3 linked regions of the Diceros bicornis minor genome follow. The protein of the gene in region 3 interacts with the protein of the main gene of each other region in a biochemical or structural test. Links are inferred from orthologs where the notes say so. Each region holds a gene or a part of one and is shown on either strand. Other genes may lie near its edges.

Region 1 (3,745 bases), on a different chromosome or scaffold from region 3:
TAGAAAATCACACCTTTTAACCTACAGACTTTACAAAAGTTACTCCATCCTCAGTCAACATCCACACTACGGAGAATTAAGGAGTCATTTTCAAAGAAAATCATGGAAACAAAAAACTCAAAATTTTAACATTATAAGCTATTCTATTTGGCTCTCTGAAACAGATCTAACAAATTAATTACCTAAAATTGATTTCAAGTGGTTTTTAAACTATATTACCAAGGAGAAAAACATACAAACACTCCAGTGCCACAAGAGGCTCTTAAGTAGCTATTATAAGATTTGCTTCATCATAGCTGAAAATTACGCCTGAATTTTAAAATATTCCTTTTAAATGACCCCATGAAGTGCTTAGAAAGCTTGACCCTTCCCTGAAAGACGCATGGTCAGCTTTTCTCTTCACATACCCTGCATTCTGTACTAGCTAGTCACCAAAAAAAAAATTAACTTTCAAAAATAATCTCCCATTCAGCTATTACCTTAGATTACCCTGTTTCACGCAAGTTTCAAAAGCCAACATGAATTGAAATCCTGAGTTCAATTAAAAGTGATCATTTTATGTTGCCTAAGGTTATAATCAATTTCATATAACAGCATGTACATTTTTTTAATCTCAGTTCTTCAGTTCTCTTCTTCTCCTAGGCAACAAAATAGTATTCTTTGCCCTCATCATGCCCCTTTCTCAAGGAATAAGAAAACAATATATTTTTGTCAAATTCTGGAAGTATATTTAAATAAGCTGTCATTAAATATCACAGAAACATATCCACAAATAGAGAGAGATACATTAGAATATCGGATACTTAGTATACCAAACACCTCAAGAACACAGACTTTTCAGCACAAATCTGGGACAAGAGTACAGTCTAGCAACAACCCTGAACACAGCCCAAATATCCCTATTATATTCAGGACCACAGTGCTCTGCAAAATCTATGACGGAAAGGTCTAAAATCCATATTCTTATAACTAAGTCTATAGTTTTATCTAAATACGACAGGAAACCAACGCCAGAGAATTTTAAACAGTCCTAAAAAGGGACCCCTTTAGTCTAGATCATTTAACAAATACTGAATGCAATGACACCCCAAAATTGAACTTAAATGATGAGTCAGTGACAATTAACATTCAACTTGGAATGTGGCAACATGACAATAAAAACCTCAATCAAAACTCAGACTCAGTTCCAAGTTACCTTTTGATTAAACATAAATTATATACTAGTAGATCGGTAATGTCAAAGCAGAAAAGTTAAGAGAGAACATATTAAACCACTTATCCAATTTAATACAATGCATGTAGACATACTCCTGTTACTGGTATCTATCAGCTCCCACCCGCCCCTTCTAAGGGAGGAATCGATGCTCGCCCCCAGACGCCACTGCTGGTCACTGAGCAAGTTTATCTCTGGATAAAGAACAAACACTGCGTATAGTCACACAAGCAAGAGAGAAATGTTAGAAGCCTGTGACATTAAGGCTCTCTATTAAGTGTACAAAACTATGATAAGCCCAGAGATCTGAGCTAACTACAATATTCCTCATTCAAAGAGACACAGACTCTGCAAATGCACATAATGGTTTATGAATCAAGTCTTGTCCTTCTCTTTATTCCAAAGGATAAGCAAGTAAACACTCCCATCACTATTTTAACATGGAAATACTCAAGCACTTGATAAAGCTGACTACCACCAGCAAGAAAATTCTAAGAAGTGTTTCAAATCGAATCATCCAAATAAAAATCATATTCTCTGCACTCAAGGTTAATGAGACCGGGGGAGGTATGGGAGGAGAAAAGAGGGAGCTGCCTCATCCTTGACTGAAGACAGGTTTTTGCGCTTTTCCATTACCTCTGATGGTTATATCAGGAGATCTAGGATCTTAAGATCCTGGTATTTCAAGGTTTCTTATTTTAAAGGTGAGGTGAAGAAGGGGTATAAAATAAAATCAATACTCACTGCTAACTTTCATGCTGCCAAAAGCTGAAGGCTGCTGCACTGGCTTGCAGCTCTCCGCAAAGGAGGTGGTTCTGGGCCGCCCTGACATGATCACTCTCTTCCCGAATCACCTTTTCCTTCCTTCCTCCTTTGCTTCCTTTTGTTTTATGTTGGGGTATTAGGTTAATGATAAATGCAGCATTAAGTTCTCCCACAAGAAAAAGAAAAAGACTTCGTCCACTTGGCTTTTCACTCCTCTTGTACAGCTATAAAAAAAAACGAGCGATGTATTTCTCCTTCAAGACAGATCAGTATGGATATTGAACATATAGATGATTTGGGGCTGGGAAAAAAATACAATTCTTTCCCCTCCCTTTCCTTGTAGGGGAGAAAGGGGGGAGGAGGAATCCTAAAAAAAAAAAAAAAAAAATCACGTGCAACGGGGACAAATACTTGATTGAAAATAAGTACTTTGAATATTATATATTCCTCGGGATTTTTTTTCCGAGTCAATGAAGAAGGGAAGCGGCGGAAGGATCACGAGTCTCACGCTTGAAAAGAAGGGGGGATGGGAAGGAGGGAGGGAGAGGGAGGGGGTGGCTCGGAGATGCGACGGGAAGCGCTGCGGCTCCGGCAGCGGCGGGATCCGGCTGACTGGAGGGCGGCGGAGTCGCGAGGCAGTCAGAGGCGGGCGGTGGCGGCGGCTCCTCTCCTCATTGCGCCAGGAGCAGCTGCAGGCGGCGGCTGGATCCAGCGGCCATGGCGGCGGCGGTGGCGGAGGCAGCTCCCTTCAGATCCCAGGCAGCGGCTCCTCGACTGCTCCCCATACGCCGGGGACATGGGAACCCGGCAACCGCTTCCGTCCCTCGGGGCCCCCTCCCCCGTCCACGGCACCAGCGCGGCCGCCCTCCCGCCCCTCGCTTCTGCTCGGTGCCCGCTCAGGAAGCGTCCGCGCTTTGCCCCCAGCCCGGAGCCCTGTCAGCGGCTGCGGGGCCGGCTCCTCCTCGCTTCCTTCCTTCCTTTGTCACTCGGCCCGGGCGGCGGCGGCGGCAGCAGCAGCGGCAGCACAAGCCCGCATTCGCCCGGGTCGGGGGCTGCTCTGTGTGAGGAGCGCCGTCTGCGCAGCCGCCTAGCTCTTCCCCACTCCCCCTCCCCCCTCCTACTCGTCCGCCGCCTCCTTCCTCCCCCACCCAGCCTTACACCGCCCAGCGCCCCGCCGCCCGCGTAACAGGCGTCTAGGAATTGCCGGCCGAGCCCCGCGACCGCCCGCTTCGGCTGGGAAGCCGAAGACCGAGCGGAGCCAATCACGGACGTCGTTTCTTTGCGGCTCCTCCCGGAAAAAGCCGATGGACCTGAGGAACCAATTACAAAGTGTCGCTGGAAATCCACGCCCAAAAAGCGGAAAGTGCCGAAGATAGCCGAACGAGAAGGTGGGTTCGCCTTGTTCTGTGGCTGGGTAGAAGAGAAATTCGACAATGGCAACAGTGGCCAATCAGAGTCGCCGGCCCTCAGGAAAAAGCTTGAAGAGTTAAAGGACGGTGAAACCCTGCGTTGCTGGTGAAACGGCACCGCTGGGCGCCGCGGCCGCTTTGTAATTGGCTGAAAACTCCGCTGGGAGTGTTCCTCCCTCGCTGATTGGTGAAGAGAAGGGGGCTTCCGAGGACAGCCTGGCCAGTCAGAACGTCTCCTCCCTCGTCGAGGTGGGGAGAAGAAAAAAGCGAAAGGAGGGCGTCTATAAAGCGCCTTCTGATTGGCCTGAACCTTCGGAGCTGGCGTGGGGGCAAAAGGGAAAGGGAGGGAGGCCGAAGC
Region 2 (3,745 bases), on a different chromosome or scaffold from region 3:
TTCCAAGTATACCCTTTCTCCTGCCCATCTACGGTGGAGAGAGAGTGTAGCTTCCTTTCACCCCACAGACGTGGGCATAGCACCCTATGGCACGCAACGTGCCCCTCCTGCACCTTCCTGCTCATCCGGTGGCTGCTGCTGCTACAGCTGCCACCAGAGACCCTGGCAGAGCTCAGAGGAGCAGGAAGAAATAGGAGAGGCAGAATAGGCAGTGGGTGAGTGTGTGTGAGTGTATCCTTGTGGAGAGCGTGTGTATATCTGTTTGTCTATTTCTTCGCTAAAGAATTTGAAGTGGTTTGTAAAATAACATCCAACCTAACCTAACACAGTTCAAGATAAAGAAAAGATAGTCAGGGTCTGCATGAATACCCCCACGTGGGAATTTAGGAACAAGTAGAAAGGACAAGCATCAATCTCATTATTTATTGTGTGTGTCATTTAATAAAGGAGCTATATAAATGTCTCCGAGATATTAGTAGCAGCCTTCAAGCACTTTCTTGAGCTCTTAGACCCCAGCGTACCAAGTGGTCATAAGAAGTAACTCCACCAAAGACTCTTCTGTTCTTTCCTTTATAGGGTCACAGTAGGTCTCTTTTTACATATCCCAGGGCCATACCAAAGTTTAAAATAAGAATACACTAAAATTATCAAATATTATTCATGAGGACAAAAAAAACAAAGGCTCATGCACGATTTTGATTAAGAATAGTCTTGATTATTTTTAAAAGATTGAGTTCTAAAAAGTGTCCTTTGAAATATAGTCACTTAGCACAGAAACATTTATTAAAAAAACAAAGTCCTAAGTATTACTGCAAAATTAATCTGGAAAAACAAAAGATTAGCCCCACTTTTTACTATTAGCTCAAATATACACATTCACCTACCCACACATACCTCTGACTCAGTCCATCTTTTTGACAAGTGATAATACAAAAGTGAATCAAGGGAGAAATACCAGCATTTAGAGTATCAATCATCCTAACCCATCAGCCATAAATAAACATGAAAATGACATTTGGGGCTTACCTACCTACATAGAGAACTCCCTCTTTGGTCTTTCCTGCTGCCTCTGCCACACCCTGTTTGGTTTTTTCAGCAGCAGCCACAACTCCTTCCTTGGCCTTTGAAAGTCCCTTCTTGATTACATCCATGGCTAATGAATTCCTTTACACCACACCACACTGGAGAATACAAAATACACTTTGAACGAGAATTCTTGCGTAAAACAAAACGAAATTAGAAGTACCCAAGGTGAAACCCACGGAAAGATCAGTAGAACAAAAGTTCGAGACTCTTTTAAGTGCACCCTTACTTCAGCCATTGGACAAAGAAGCCTTTTTTAGCTTTTGCATTAAAAATTTAGCATCCCCCATCCATCTTGGCTGGTAAAAGTCTAGTCCCCTAAACACGGATTAGAATGAATCACCGGAGCTGTTCTAATTTTGCATTTCCTGAGTGAGTTGCATGAAAAGATGGACCCCCTCTTTCAACTTGCCAGGGTCCAAATGGTGACATTACAAGTTAGAAGTACGTTTAAAAGACACATCACAGGAAAAGAAAGGGAGCTGGAGGCATGGGGTCAGGGGCACTCTTAAAACGAATCCCAGAAAAGGGCTAACAGGTTGATCATGGAGAAGGGAGGGAAGAGAACTACTCACTCTGGGTGTGGCTGCACTTCAGGCCAACTGCAGCCCACCCGCCCTCGCTCTAATCCACCCGACCATCCATCCCCGCCCGCAGCTATCTGCTCTGAGCAGGCGCTAGTTCACACCCGCCGGCCGTCTCCAGACGCGCGCCAGCCGCCCGAGGGGGCGTTCTCAGCGCACGTGAACCCGCTACCCACCCGAACCTGCACCTGTTAACCCCTTACCACCTGTTGACTTGCCCTCTCTGCACTTCCATTTAATTATCTGCTAAACACAGCTTGTTTACTTTACAAAGAGAACCGAGAGGGCGGACTGGGATTTCAAGTAAGAGAGAAATAAAAGTTGGACGCTCTCGTTCCACCTAGCATCCTCGCGTTTCCCAAAGGAAAAGCGTATCCGGGAGAAGCCTGACCTCTCAGCCTCTGAGGACGAGAAGAGTGAAATACCGGAACAGGAGGAAAGCCAGGGCAACTTACTTTCCTCAAGCTCACCAAAGGGATAAGAACCCACCTCCGAGACTTGACACAGCGGGTCCTCACTGCAGCCCCCTCCCCCCCACCCCACCCCCGCCCCCAGGCGTCCACAATGACTCCTCTCCCACCAGGTTTTCTCCAGGATTTCCAAAGCTGCCAGTTTAGATCCACAGGTACTTACCTGAGTCGCTCCGCTCCTCAGAACTCCGATTCCCCACCCCACCCCCTCTTTAAAAACAAATTTAAACAATTTCCAAATATTATTTAAATGGGAAGAGGGAGGATAAGGAGCGGACGGGAAGGGCGGAGGCGGTACCAGGAGAGGGATTGTCCCCAGAGGAGGCTGCTGTCAGCACAACCCGGCAAAGAGAGGCTGGGGGCGTGGGAGGCGAACCCGCGAACTGTCGTCGAATTGCCACTCCTCGTCCCCCGCACGGGAGGATCCGAGAGAAAGAGACAGAGGGTCGGAGGGGAAGGCGGGGAGAGAGCGCGAAGGATGCTAAGGGCAAGGCTCGGTCCCCGGGTCTGCTCTAAAACCAGCACACACCTCACCCCGCGTCGCCGCGCTCGGTCGCTCGCCCCCTCTCGGGTCCCCTTCCCGTCGTCGTGGTCCTCCTCCTCCCCTTCCTCCTCCTCCCGCTCCTCCGCTCGCCGCCCCCGCAGCTGATTTGTCAGCGCCTCTCCCCGCCCCTCGCCCGGCGCTCGCTGCTTTCCCTGCCGCGTGCACTTCACTCCTCTTCTCGGATGGGGAGGGGGGCGGGGAGAAGGCTGTACCTCCAACTCCAGCCGCCCGCCTGGGCCTGGGAGGCGGGAAATGGGGTGTCTTGCGCTTCACTGCAAGTTCAGGGTCACGGGGACTCTTGCGGGGATCGGGAGCGGTTAGGCTTGGGCTGATGGCTCTCTCTTTCCCATCCCCCGTCCTTCCCTGTCTCCGCCTTTCCCTCTGGTTCCTCACGAGGACCCCCACGTCAGAGCCAACCTGGGGGAGTGGGGGCCTGAGGGATGGACCGCCAAAGATAGAGCCAATCTCTCGGGGAGCTGCTGAAGAAGGCAGGCAGCTCAGGAAGGATGCTCACATCGGCATCGCCAAGAGCACGTTTCCCTCGGATCGCTGAAATTTGATTAATGGTCGTAGGAGACAACGTTAAAGGTGCTTTTGTTTAAATATCTGCCAGATTTTCGTTTGCTCTTAACCTCTCATGATCCCGACGGGGTCCCGCGGGTGGGGAGGAGAGTAGCAAGGATGAGTTACAGGTTGAGAAGGCAGGAGGAGGCTCGTCAAATCCTCTTCCCACCCCACTATCACCATTTTCTTTTCCACCAATCAGCGGCTGCCAGACGCCGATTTTTCCCATCAGCGGAACGAGGAATAAATATTCCCCAGCCGTCGAAACCAAGCAGCTATATACAGCTTTTCCTTCTCGAAACGGAATTTACTTTTCAGATTCAAGTGCCTGGATGGAGGAGACAAATCCAGCGTGGTTTATTTTCCCGAACCGTCATATCCAATTCTTTCTTCCATCCCTTTTGAAAGGGAGATTCTACACACCGCTCACCTTTCTGACTTCTGATTCACGTTGCCCTCGGAGCTGACACCTAACCCCATCCCACACACAGACATACGGG
Region 3 (3,745 bases):
AAGAAGATGTGGTATATATACACAATGGAATACTACTCAGCCATAAGAAACGATGAAATCCAGCCATTTGTGACAACATAGATGGACACTGAGGGTATAATGCAAAGTGAAATAAGTCAGAGGGAGAAGGTCAAATACCGTATGATTTCCTTCATTAAGTAGTAGATAATAACAACAATAAACAAACACATAGGGACCGAGATTGGATTGGTGGTTACCAGAGGGGAAGGGGGGAGGGAGGAGGGTGAAAGGGATAATTCGGTACATGTGTGTGGTGATGGCTTGTAATTAGTATTTGGGTGGTGAACATGATGTAATCTATGCAGAAATAGAAGTACAATGATGTACACCTGAAATTTTTACAATGTTATAAACCAATGTTACTGCAATAAACAAAAAATTAAAAAAAAAAAAAACTTCAATACAAGCTCCCATATCGTATTGGGCGACTGAGAGAATGAAGGCCTCTGGTCAGTTTGTCAGAGGTGTGTTAGCCAGGTGAGAATCTCCCCCCCCTCCCCCAGGCACTTAGAAATTCAGATGTCAGGCTCTACTTCCAGTATAACAGTGTTTCAACAAACGAGGTAAAAATAACTGTTTATGTGAAAATGCTTTACAATGTAATAAGCGCCATTTAAATCTTGGTCTAATTTAAGATTTTACTCTAGGGTCACAGTTAGATAAATAGATTCGAATGCTCTTTGTTAAAAAACTGCACTACTGTATTAACAACTGAGTGTTTTAAGTGGATTAGCTAAGGAAAGGATTCTCCTTGGTCAATAACAAAAAAGCTAGAAGGAAAGCAAGTTGAAAGGAAGCAGACCCAGGGAAACTTGATCTCCAACAAGGGGGAACATTTGGGGACTCGGGAGAGTCAGGGTGCCCGGCCAGCGATAAGGAGGGCCAGCCTGGGACTGGCCTTGAGTCCAGGTGGACAGACTGGGGAGCCAGCCATGGCGAAACCCGCTCGGGACCTTTCCGTGATAGGACATCATCCCGGCACGACGGGAATGAAAAGGGTAGCAGATCTGGGAGCGGAAAACCCAGCCTCCTCCCGCCCCCAGAAGCAACCAAGCCACCCTGCCGAGAGAAGACACCCCTCAGACAAAACAAAGGCTCCAGCAGCGGGAGGAGACGTAGAGTGCGCCTGCGCCACGGCTCGCGCGTGCGCGTGGCGGTCAGCGCCCGGCCTGAGGAGTGAGGGGAGGGGAGACCGGGGAAGGGAAGCGCCAAGAGGACCGAGGTAGGAGGCAGGGGAGGGCCGAGCGGTGGGTTGCTCGCGCGCGCCCACTGGTGGCCGGAGGAGAAGACGCCCGCGGAGGCCTCGCTGCCCGCCCCTCCCCTGGGGAGGCTCGCGCTCCCGTTGCTCGCGCCTGCGCGGCCCGCCGGTCTCGGGAGCGCGCCCTCTCGCTGGTGCGCGCGCTCGCAGTCTCCGCCACCCACCAGCTCCGGCACCAGCAGCAGCGCCGCCGCCGCCGCCGCCCACCTTCTGCCGCCGCCACCACAGCCACTTTCTCCTCTGCTTTCCTCTACTGTCGTCGCCCTCTGTCGACTATCAGGTAAGCGCGAGGCTCCGAAATCTGCCTCCCTGTCCGCCCCGCTGCACCCCCATGCCGCCGCCCCTGGCGCCCCGCCGCAGAGATGGGTTTCATGAGGTGGGCATTGGTCGGGGGCAACGGCGGAGGCCCCTCCCTGCGCCCTCTGCGCTCCAGGGTTGGGACTTGGGCTGTTTGGAAAGGGACCCATGCAAGGGATGCACGCACGCGTGTGAGTGTGTGTGTGTGTGTGTGTGCGCGCTGGGGGGGGGGTCCACAGGACCCGCTTCGCGCGGACCCGGGCACAGGCTGTGCCCGCAGGGCGGGGCGCGGATGGCGGTGACCTGGGAGAAGGGGCTTCCATGCACTCTCGGTCGCCGCCTTTTGCCGCAATGGGCGTGTGTCTATGTGTGTGTGTGTGGGGGGGCTCCAATGACGACCCCAGAAGCCGAACCTGTTATCCGATTTCTCTGTCTCGGTTTGCCGTCAGCCCTAAGGAAGGTATGGATTGGGTTCTAGAAAAGATGATTCCCTGCCTGCCCCTCCCTACACCTCCCCGGCAGCAATTCCAACCGGGCTTTCGCTGCCCCTGATTTAAGGCAGTGGCCCACGCCCTCTGCGTTTTCCTCCTTCAGAAACCCGCAGGGGACATTTGGGGGCTGGGACTGGAAGCCGTGAGATGGGGAGGGGTCCGGGCGCTGTCACTTTAGTTGCCCTTCCCCCTGCGCGCGCCTGGCACCGAGATTCGAGCAGCGCCGTGCTCGAGAGAAGGTAGTGCGCGGATCCCAATGTGGAGGCTCGGAAAGGCAGGGGTCACCTGGCCTGGCGATGTGGAAGGACTCGGCAGAGGCCGATCCCGGCTCGCGGGTGCTGACAGCCACAGCCCCGCACAGACCGGCGCGGGGGCTGCAGGTGCATTTCGGGGCGGGCGCCTTTCTCTGCGCTCTGCGCCCTGCGCCCGGCGTCCAGCGTGAGCGCTCCCTGCCGGAGGCGCGGGGCTGGCGCGCAGGGCTCGCCCCTCACTGCGGCAGTGGGTGTGGACCCGGGTGGGCGAGAAGGGGGAGGGTGGGCTGTGCCTCCTCCCACTCCCACCCCCGCTTTTTTCCTCTCTGAACGCGAGGTGCCATCTTTTCGCGGCGTGTCACCTCTTTACGATACCATGCCAAGCCGGGTGGCTGGGCTTCGGAGGACAGGGCGGGGACTGTCATTAAAGGGGGGGGGGCAATCAGCGCTGAAATCTTGGCGTTTTTGCTGCTGCGGGCTTGAGCCCCAGGGGCGTTCACCCAGGATCTTCCTGGGGGTCTCGCTGCTTTGTTTGTCGGGCTTACATGATCCGCGTTGCCAGCCTTGGTTTTTTGGCTTTTCTTCTATGAGGGTGTTTAACCAAGGCCCCCGGTTTTCGCCCCTCATTTCCGAGCCCTTTGTTAGATCTCGGGGCTTGCTGGGGTCGAGGAACTCGAGTCACAGCCCCGGGGGCACGCATGGAACGGGCGTGACCCTGCGCGGCCCCCTCCCGGAGCCAGGCCGCGAGCCGGGAAGCGTCCGCGAGGCCGATGGGGTGGGATTCGAGGTCTGCGCGCGCTGTACGGATGGCCGCAGATGGACGACGCCCCTCCCCACACCCAGAGCTTCCTGGGGGCCACGCCCCACCAGCCTGCGGACCAAGGGTCACCGGCGACCCCTGGGAGGTCGGGGGGTAGCTCGCGCCCCTCTCCGCTTCACGCGCTGTTGCTTCGCCAGTCAGGAGAATGTGAGGAGGGGGCCCGAGGTTTCGTCCGGTGCTGCAGGCCACACCCATTTTTCCCGAGCGGACTGGGAGGGGGGCGCGGAGATGAGGTTGCCATAGAAACCACACGCGTCGGGAGAACGGAGCTAAGGGCGTTGCCCCGCCCCTTCCCGGCAGAGATTGAGAGTCCTGGGGAAGGGGGGGCAGCGCGCCCTCGGCCTCCTGGAGGGAGACCCCCCCCAACCCTGAGTCTGTTGGTCTTCCTAATTGCCTTTCGGCGGCCGCAGCCACCCGGATAGGCGTTCCTCGTGTATTTTTATTATTGTGGCCGAATATTATTTTAGAAACGTGCGGAATTTTCACTAAAGGGCCCGAGTTCACCAACGCCCTTGAAACCGGTGGGGAGGGGGCAGTGCGGGGGGTTCGGGTACCGACCCCTGACCAACAAGTCCGAGCATCGCCCTCCTGCGATGAGCCGGTCCGT

Evidence for each region.
Region 1: of the proteins of MAPT (region 3) and GSK3B, one has a biochemical effect on the other in vitro, tested with the Homo sapiens proteins (21 studies listed by BioGRID and IntAct, with this or other methods). The link is inferred for Diceros bicornis minor from reciprocal best matches to the Homo sapiens genes MAPT and GSK3B.
Region 2: the proteins of MAPT (region 3) and SNCA form a complex in vitro, tested with the Homo sapiens proteins (3 studies listed by BioGRID and IntAct). The link is inferred for Diceros bicornis minor from reciprocal best matches to the Homo sapiens genes MAPT and SNCA.

What each region holds. Positions count from the first base shown.
Region 1 is NC_080754.1:21,500,262-21,504,006, forward strand, and holds the start of GSK3B (glycogen synthase kinase-3 beta), read right to left. Parts: upstream 2,544-3,745; 5' UTR 2,046-2,543; coding exon 1,958-2,045; intron 1-1,957. Other genes in the region: uncharacterized protein LOC131414749, read left to right, coding at 2,544-3,164. UniProt on the Homo sapiens protein: Constitutively active protein kinase that acts as a negative regulator in the hormonal control of glucose homeostasis, Wnt signaling and regulation of transcription factors and microtubules, by phosphorylating and inactivating glycogen synthase (GYS1 or GYS2), EIF2B, CTNNB1/beta-catenin, APC, AXIN1, DPYSL2/CRMP2, JUN, NFATC1/NFATC, MAPT/TAU and MACF1.
Region 2 is NC_080747.1:73,700,061-73,703,805, forward strand, and holds the start of SNCA (alpha-synuclein), read right to left. Parts: upstream 2,726-3,745; 5' UTR 2,667-2,725; intron 1,182-2,666; 5' UTR 1,152-1,181; coding exon 1,031-1,151; intron 1-1,030. UniProt on the Homo sapiens protein: Neuronal protein that plays several roles in synaptic activity such as regulation of synaptic vesicle trafficking and subsequent neurotransmitter release.
Region 3 is NC_080757.1:44,470,067-44,473,811, forward strand, and holds the start of MAPT (microtubule-associated protein tau), read left to right. Parts: upstream 1-1,465; 5' UTR 1,466-1,559; intron 1,560-3,745. UniProt on the Homo sapiens protein: Promotes microtubule assembly and stability, and might be involved in the establishment and maintenance of neuronal polarity.